Linked DNA regions of Notamacropus eugenii. The protein of the gene in region 2 interacts with the protein of the main gene of each other region in a pairwise test. Links are inferred from orthologs where the notes say so. Each region holds a gene or a part of one and is shown on either strand. Other genes may lie near its edges.

Evidence for each region.
Region 1: the proteins of MAPK9 (region 2) and SHMT1 interact in binary tests that used the Homo sapiens proteins (3 or more experiments, as listed by UniProt). The two-hybrid records come from large-scale screens. The link is inferred for Notamacropus eugenii from reciprocal best matches to the Homo sapiens genes MAPK9 and SHMT1.

What each region holds. Positions count from the first base shown.
Region 1 is NC_092874.1:335,899,091-335,902,838, forward strand, and holds the start of SHMT1 (serine hydroxymethyltransferase, cytosolic), read right to left. Parts: upstream 2,977-3,748; 5' UTR 2,853-2,976; intron 1-2,852. UniProt on the Homo sapiens protein: Interconversion of serine and glycine.
Region 2 is NC_092872.1:415,961,236-415,964,983, reverse strand, and holds the start of MAPK9 (mitogen-activated protein kinase 9), read right to left. Parts: upstream 2,832-3,748; 5' UTR 2,660-2,831; intron 1-2,659. UniProt on the Homo sapiens protein: Serine/threonine-protein kinase involved in various processes such as cell proliferation, differentiation, migration, transformation and programmed cell death.

The DNA of each region.
Region 1 (3,748 bases), on a different chromosome or scaffold from region 2:
CAATCCTAGAACATAAAAACTTATATTTGAACATTAACTACTCAAGGTCAAAAAACATGAAAAGTGCAAAAGCAGCATTTCCCAGTCACCAAATAATTAAAGTCCAATGAGAAATGCCCTCTGCTAAGTGGCAGACCTGTCTTTAAAGGGCTTGTGTTCCAACAGCCTATTTCCTAACTCACTTTCACAAAGCTATTTATTTCTCTGTTGGACAATAAGTCCTTTGATTCATGACAAAAAATATTTCATCAGTGTCACTAGATGAGAATATGTTCAAAGAAAAGTTAAGAAGGATCTAAGAGAGAACAGAAATCTAAGCGAGGCAAGAGTGGGTACTGAGAGCACTGAATGGGCATGGAGAGTACAAAAGAGGCTATTTCTTGAGTCAGGAAAACCTGAGTTTAAGACCTGACTGATACATACTGGCCAAGTCATTTATCCTAGGCAAACTCTTTTAAGACTCAAAACTTTGAAGCAGTTGTCAATGTGTAAGGATGGAGGAAGTGCTATCAACCTAACTTAGCAATATCAACTTTTGTTGCACCAAATCTAATCAAACCTAGTAACTTTCAAGTTGATACCATGACATGTTTTTGTCCTTCCTTCTCAGAAAAGACCAAGACATCAGAAAGGTGATGTTATGACTTGCAAGTGAATTGGATTTAAGTGAGGGAGGATAGTGCAAAGTTTCTGGGTTTCTGGCCAAAACAGGAACAATTGCTATTTACCCTAGCTCTGGGCCATCAGGACCCAAACAATGACCAAGTGAGGCTTGGGTTGGGACCTACTGTTGGTCAATCAAAGAAAGTCAGAGTGATGTAGGTTTAAGGCATGGTCTTTAAGAAAGAAATATAGCCTGTAAACCCCAAGATATCTTTTGACGTTTCAGTGACCAAATTTACATTTCTTTGGGCAGAGCACACAAAGGTAAGGGTATGATATCCTATGTGGACAGAGGGAGAGGAGGGAAGGAGAAAAGGAGGGAGGAGGGTAAGGAAAGAGGGGAAAAAAGGAAGGAGGGAAGGAAGGATTTCACTCACTACATCACTACTCACAGTCCTGCCCCAATCCCTCTAACTACTGAATAATTCATTCACACCCTCTTCATTCAAGGAAAACACAAGGGCTAGGCTTATCTACTAGCACAAGACACAAGATTTATAAGCTGGACTCTGGATCTTTGCTATCAGCTTGCTTTTTTGAAACACCAGACTAAGCTTCTTCCCCTAAAATAAAAGTCTAAGCCTCAAGACAGAGTTGCACCTTGATGGTGAATATTTTGTCATTTATACAAGTACTCAGTGAAATACTCTGCCTTGGGTTACTTCTGTTGAGTTCCCTGGGGGTAAAGTTACCGCAGAAATGTTAAAACCCAAAGGTCAGCAATGTTAAACTCAATTTGTATAGAACAGAGGGGAATCAAAACCAGGTGGAAGAAGACAGCATAAGTTTAGGAAAAGGTATCATTCATCCATTCACTCAAGAAAAGCACAGAGATTTGGAGTCCGAGAAGTATCGCCATCAGTCACTTCCTGTGTAACCTTAGTTTATCTATAAAACGAGTGGATTGATTTAAATGACCTGAGATTCCTTCCAGCTCTAAATGCTGCGCTTCTCCAGTAATCTACTACACGAACACAACCAGGCTCTGGGGACAGTAGCAAGCAACTGGAATTTCTTCCTGGTAGGAAAATTCTCCCCCCAATCCATATTGCTGCGAATCTTTAGCGAGAGAAATCTTAGATCTAAGTAGTGAGGCTCAGACAAGGTACAAGGCTACTAAGCGCCAGAGACAAGATCTGGAAAGCTTTCTTTCAATCCAGTCCAGTACTCCCCACGTTCAGACAAGCAGCCTGTCCCCGGAGGACAGAAGATCAGAACTCCGGAAGACACATGCACACACTTTCCCCTCAGCTTGAAAAGAAAAAGTACGAAATCCATCCCTCCGAAATCTTCCACCTACTTTCGGATAGGCAACACACGCAAAGAAACCAGGTCAGGTGAAAGACCCCAATTCATCACCACCCTTTTAAGGTGATCTTCCTGGGCATGTGTAATCTTTGGCCTAATATACTTGACCTTGGCTTTGGGGGGAAAGAGCGGAAATCGGCTCATTCACCAGAAGCCAATCTGGTTCTCTGCTAGTAAGACATGCAGCCGGGCGCCCGAACTTGTGTTTCCAGTCCCACCTGGTGCCAGATGTGCAAAGAAGCCCCAGGTCCTTTCTCTCCTCACCTCTCCATAGCTTCTAAATCATCGAAGGTCCCCCAGAGGGCCACCTTTTTTATTGGGGGGGGAGATTTTTTTGTATCTAATCTGTATATCTTTGGTGAACAAATGCACGAAATGAAATATACAAGATTACAACCGAAACCAGCTCTGGCGAGATACAGTATCTAAACAGGAAAACAATAAATCCACCAAGTTCAGCCGCCACGTGAGGAACCGCAGCCCCGGAGTCACACCCGGGCTGCAAGGAGAGCTCCCCAGCATCCCGGGGAGGCTGGGGTCCAGGGCTTTGAACTCGCCCAAGGTCGGGGGGCGCGGGCGCAGCAGGTCCGGCCACGCTGATCTGGGGGAGGGGGGACCCTTCCGCTTTGCAGGACACAGAGAGGGCGGGAAATCTCCGTGGGGGGGGTGTCTGAGACCCTCTCCCACGGGCTACCCGTTAGTTGCTAGTCTCCACGGCAACACCCCCCCACACTTAGAACCCCGGGACCCTCGGAGACCCCCCAAAGACAAGAGCGCGCGTAAGCCACGTGACGCGGCGCCCCAGCGCAGCCTTGAGCGGGGCGAGGAAGCCGCGGCGGGCACAGCCCGGAGAGCCCCGACGCCGGCCCCAGTCCCCTTACCTCGGCGGGCACTAACCGGTGAGTTGCAGCAGAAGCCCCGAGCGCGACCGCCTTCAGCCCGCGGTCAGAGATGTCCCTCCGCTGAGCCCCGCCCCCTTTCCAGCCCCGCCAGATACTATAAGCGGGAATGGCTGGGGAGAGGGGAGGAGGGGGGCGGAGCCTACTCTGTCCGAGAGTGGGCACGAGGAAGCAAGCTTTGCTCCGCCCCTTCCCGCTCTGCCGGACGCTATAGGCGGGAATGGAGGTGGTGGGCGGAGCCACTCAGCCCGGGAGAGGGTACGAGCTCCGCTGCTCTGCTCCCGCCCCCAGCCCCGCCTCTTCTCGGCTCCGTTCGACGCTCGGGGCAGGAATGGCAGGGGTGGGCGGACCCCTCGGGTCCTAGGAGAGGGTACCAGGGTGCAGATTTGCAGAGAAAGGGAGGTGACCGGGCCCTAATCTGGCGCCTCTCCGTCTGGCCAGGCTAATAGGGGAGAAACAGATGCTGCTGTCAGGTGCTCCTAGACTGGAGCCCTCCCCATTTCAAGCAAGATTTTTAAAAAATTAGTTCTCATGGCATTTTCATGCCCCGGTGGGCCAAGTTCAACCAACTTGCCAACTCTAAAACTGAATTAACCTATTATTTCTCAACTGAGCACTCTCAGTTCTCACAGCTACCACCCGAATCCAAGTCCTCATTTCTTATCTGGATTTAGGCACAGCGTCAGCAAGCAGTTATTAAGCATATGTGTGTTTGTATATATAGATAGATGTGTGTGTAGATGTGTGTATATGTATATACATACATACATATGTAATTGCATATATGCGTGTGCAAATAAAGACACACATACATATAGTTCAAAACTACCATCCCCTTACCTGCAGATACTTTGTCCAAAGGAATATACATTTTGATC
Region 2 (3,748 bases):
AAATACCTTTAGTCAAGAAAGCCAAATCCCTGCCAAATTTACAAGATCCCTCATCTGTAAAATGAAAGAACAGGACTTGATGGACTCAAAGTATCTTCCAGGTCTAAATTTATGATCCAAAGTCATTGTGTATTAAAGGTAACACGAAAAGGCAGCAAAACTAAAGCTAAATACAATAGACAATGTTGATTTCAAATTATTAAAATTAAAGCATGTATTCTTAATTTTTGTTAAACAATAAACCACAAAAATAGAAAATGACATGTATTGTCAATTGAAACCACTATATTAGGTAGCATTGCTTAACTTTTTATAGGGAACTATGGGGGCAGATAGAGTTTTAAGGAAGTCATCCTAACAAAATATGTTGATATAAGAAATTATAAAAATAATATGAGGAAGTACCTGGATTAATAAGGGAATATTTAAAATAAGGTTAAATGTACATCAAATGCTACTTTAATATTCAATATTTAATTTCTTCAAGTGTTAAGGAAATAGGTGAATTATTCTCAAGGGGATGTGACTTTTCAAACTCAAATGCCAATAGAAAATCTGCATGAATTCCTTCCCCTTCCCTACTCTAACTTGGCAAAATTTCACAAGATTTTAGACAATTATTTAGATTCTTAGTACAGTTAATAGCATATAAGAACATGTATCTATTCATTGTTACAATTCAGTTACTAAGGCAAGTATGTAAAAAAAAGATATCCTATTTCTCATATGCTTGGGAAAATAGGCCTCACCACTGTTAGACCAGTAAATATTATAAAGAAAAAAGAAGTTGAAATTAAAGCCTGAATTGTGCTTAGCTCTGGAAACTTTGATAGAGACTGATAAATGTTCTGTATGTGACATCTGGGTCAATGAATTTCAAATGCTATGAAATGGAATAAATGTGACTTGAATTACTATTGAGACAAATATGAATTTACCTAATATTTAAATGGTCTGATAATTTGATCTTGTTTATTTAAATTGGTAACAGTTTGAGAATAAAATGACATGTTCAAGAAAATCAAAATTTCCCCAGGGAAGACCACTAAAATGGGATTTTTAACTTATAAGGAAGACCTCTGAAAGGAAAAAAAATTACATTGTAAAAATAAAGAACCTTAACTGAATCAGGGTTAAATGTTTTCTTGAATTGTAGCAAATTACTGGCTAAAAGATTGTCAGTGTTAACATTCATCTCACTATTGGTTCTGGAAATTTACCAACAAAAGGAAATGTATCAGGATCTAAAAAGTAGCAACAAATCAGGCAGAACAGGGGGGAAAAATTTTAAGAGGTCATTTACTTAAATCCACATAAAAGTTAGTCTGAAATAAGATATTTCAATTAAGAGCCAAATCATTTCTGCTGTTAAACAACCCTAAATTTCTGCTTGAGATGAGCAGACAAGGTTCTTCCTGGAAGACATTTCTGCCTCACTCACTCACTTAGCCTACCAGGTTCCCTAGGAAGAAACTGGGAAAATATCTAATTCAAGATGCTTAAAATGTACTAATGCTGATGAGGGGTCCACAGGAGCAATAATACAACTTTGCCTAAGGCCTCAGTCCCTCATTCCAGTTCTCTACAAATACTGTTCAGCACAGAGAGTCTGAGAAACTGGTGGATGGTAAGGCTCCTAGGAGATATGCCAAGAGGGTCTGACCAGGGTTTGATTTCCATTCTGCGTCTTGCTAAACTGTGTGACTTCAGGCATATCATTTAAGACCTCTGAGTCACAGTTCCCTACTCTGTAAAATGGGAATAACTCGAGCTCTACCTACTTCCCAGGGTTGTTGGAAGTCAAACACTTTACACACTAGGACTAATGTGAAATAGGGTCACTTACGGCTGAGTCTGCTATGCTATGCAATTCTTCAATGATAACTGAAGAATCGGGGGAAGAGAGGAGGCTTCAGTCTAGGTGACAGGTATGTTTTCCTCATTTTACCTTTTCACCGAATGAGTGTGAGGGAGGGATGAAAAGCACGAGCACTTCAAGATCAAGCACAGGACTGTGGAGTGGGAGGCAGTGGTCCCCAGGGAGGCTCTAGATGGGGGGAGGGGGAAAGAGGAAGCCCAAGAATGACAGCTGGGAAGGGAGGCACCAGGGCTGCACACAGGCGTACCTGGGTGTCCCGCAGCCCCAAGGGGGATGGGATGCGAAGATCTGGGGCTAGCGGGGTCTTGGGATCGTTGAGGCCAAACCCCTCGTTTTACCGAGTGCCAAAGAGGAGGCGGCAGGGGCCGGCCCAAGGTCACGCAGGCAGGCGGGGCGGGAGAGGCGGCGCTGGGGTCCCGCCTCGCGATGCTGCGCCCCGGACCCAGCCTTGGCCCGGCTCCGGCGCTGGCACGGGCGCGGGTCCCTCCGGCGCCTCCGACAGACAGAATGCGGCACTCTCCGGGCAGGGAGGAGGAGCGGGGCGCGGTGCCAGGAGCAGCCGGCCTCCCGGGGCCCGCAGCCCGCCCGGCCCTGCCCCGGCTGCCGCAGCCCCCCGGGCCCAGCCGAAGGCTCGCGCCCTCCCTCCGCCCCCTCCCCTTCCTCCCAGGAGGACCCGGCGCCTCACTCCCCACCCGCCTTGGGTCCCGGGTCCCGGCCCCCGGCTCCCCGTCCGGGGCTCGCGCCCCGGCCCGACCACTCCCCGCCTCCCTGCCGCCTCACCTGCCCTCCCCGCGGCTGTCTGGGCCGGCGGGCGGGCGGCGCTCAGGGCTCAGCCCCAGCTCCCGGGCCGCCGCCGCCGCCGCCGCAGTGGGTGCGAAGCCGAAGCTGGGAGCCGAGCTCAGGCCCTTCCGCTCATGGCTCCGTCTTCAGCAGCCGGGGGCCCAGCTCGGCGGACCGACGGGCACCGCGGCCAATCGCTGAGCGCAAAGCGAGGCCCGGCGCAGCCAATCCTGAGAGAGGGCGGGGCCCTGGAGCCGGGGCTGCCGGGAGGGCCGCCTCTGGCCGGAGGTGTGGCTGGCCTGGGCTGGACTGGAGGGGGGGCCGTGGACCTCTGCTGGCAGGTGTTCTAAACCCTCCTCAGAAGGGAACATTGATCCCGTCACCTTTGATGGACAGAGAGGGCAAGCCAGGCCCACGTCACCTAGCCGGTGTGGGAACAGGTAGACACCTGAACCCAGTGGGCTTACCTGCCGGTTAGCTCATTCATTCGACCCGCATCGATGATTCGCCTGCTGTGGACAAGACTGTTTTCTCTCTGCTTTTCTTTCCCTACCTGTTTTCTTGGTGAACTCATCAGCTTCCATAGATTCAGCAATGATCTCTGCGCAGAGATGATAGCCTATGGGCAGCTGGTGGAGTTCAGGAAAGATTCGAACCGAATACGCATGTATTATATACAATATACGTATACATAATTTATACAGTGCACGTACTCACCTGTGTATTCAGCTCTAGTCTGGTACCACCAGCTGCCAACCGGATATAAATCATATGCCCTTCAAGCACCTCAAAGTCAACATGTCCAAAACAGAAGTCATCATATTATCTTCCCTCCTACCCCCATGCCACCTGTGTTTCCCTATTGATGTCATGGTCCTCTTCAAAAAACGAAGGACGAACACAACAACTGATGGTCTCTCTTTTCTCCCAGTCACCCAAGCCTTCCACATTAAAATCATTTCCTAGGCTTCTTTAAGAAAAATCTAATTAAATTTTATTTTAGTTTCAAATCCTAATTCCCTCCTTCCCACCTTGCTCACCCCCACCCTTCTGAGTCCCTATTTTCCCTATCTCTGTTGAAGGAACCAC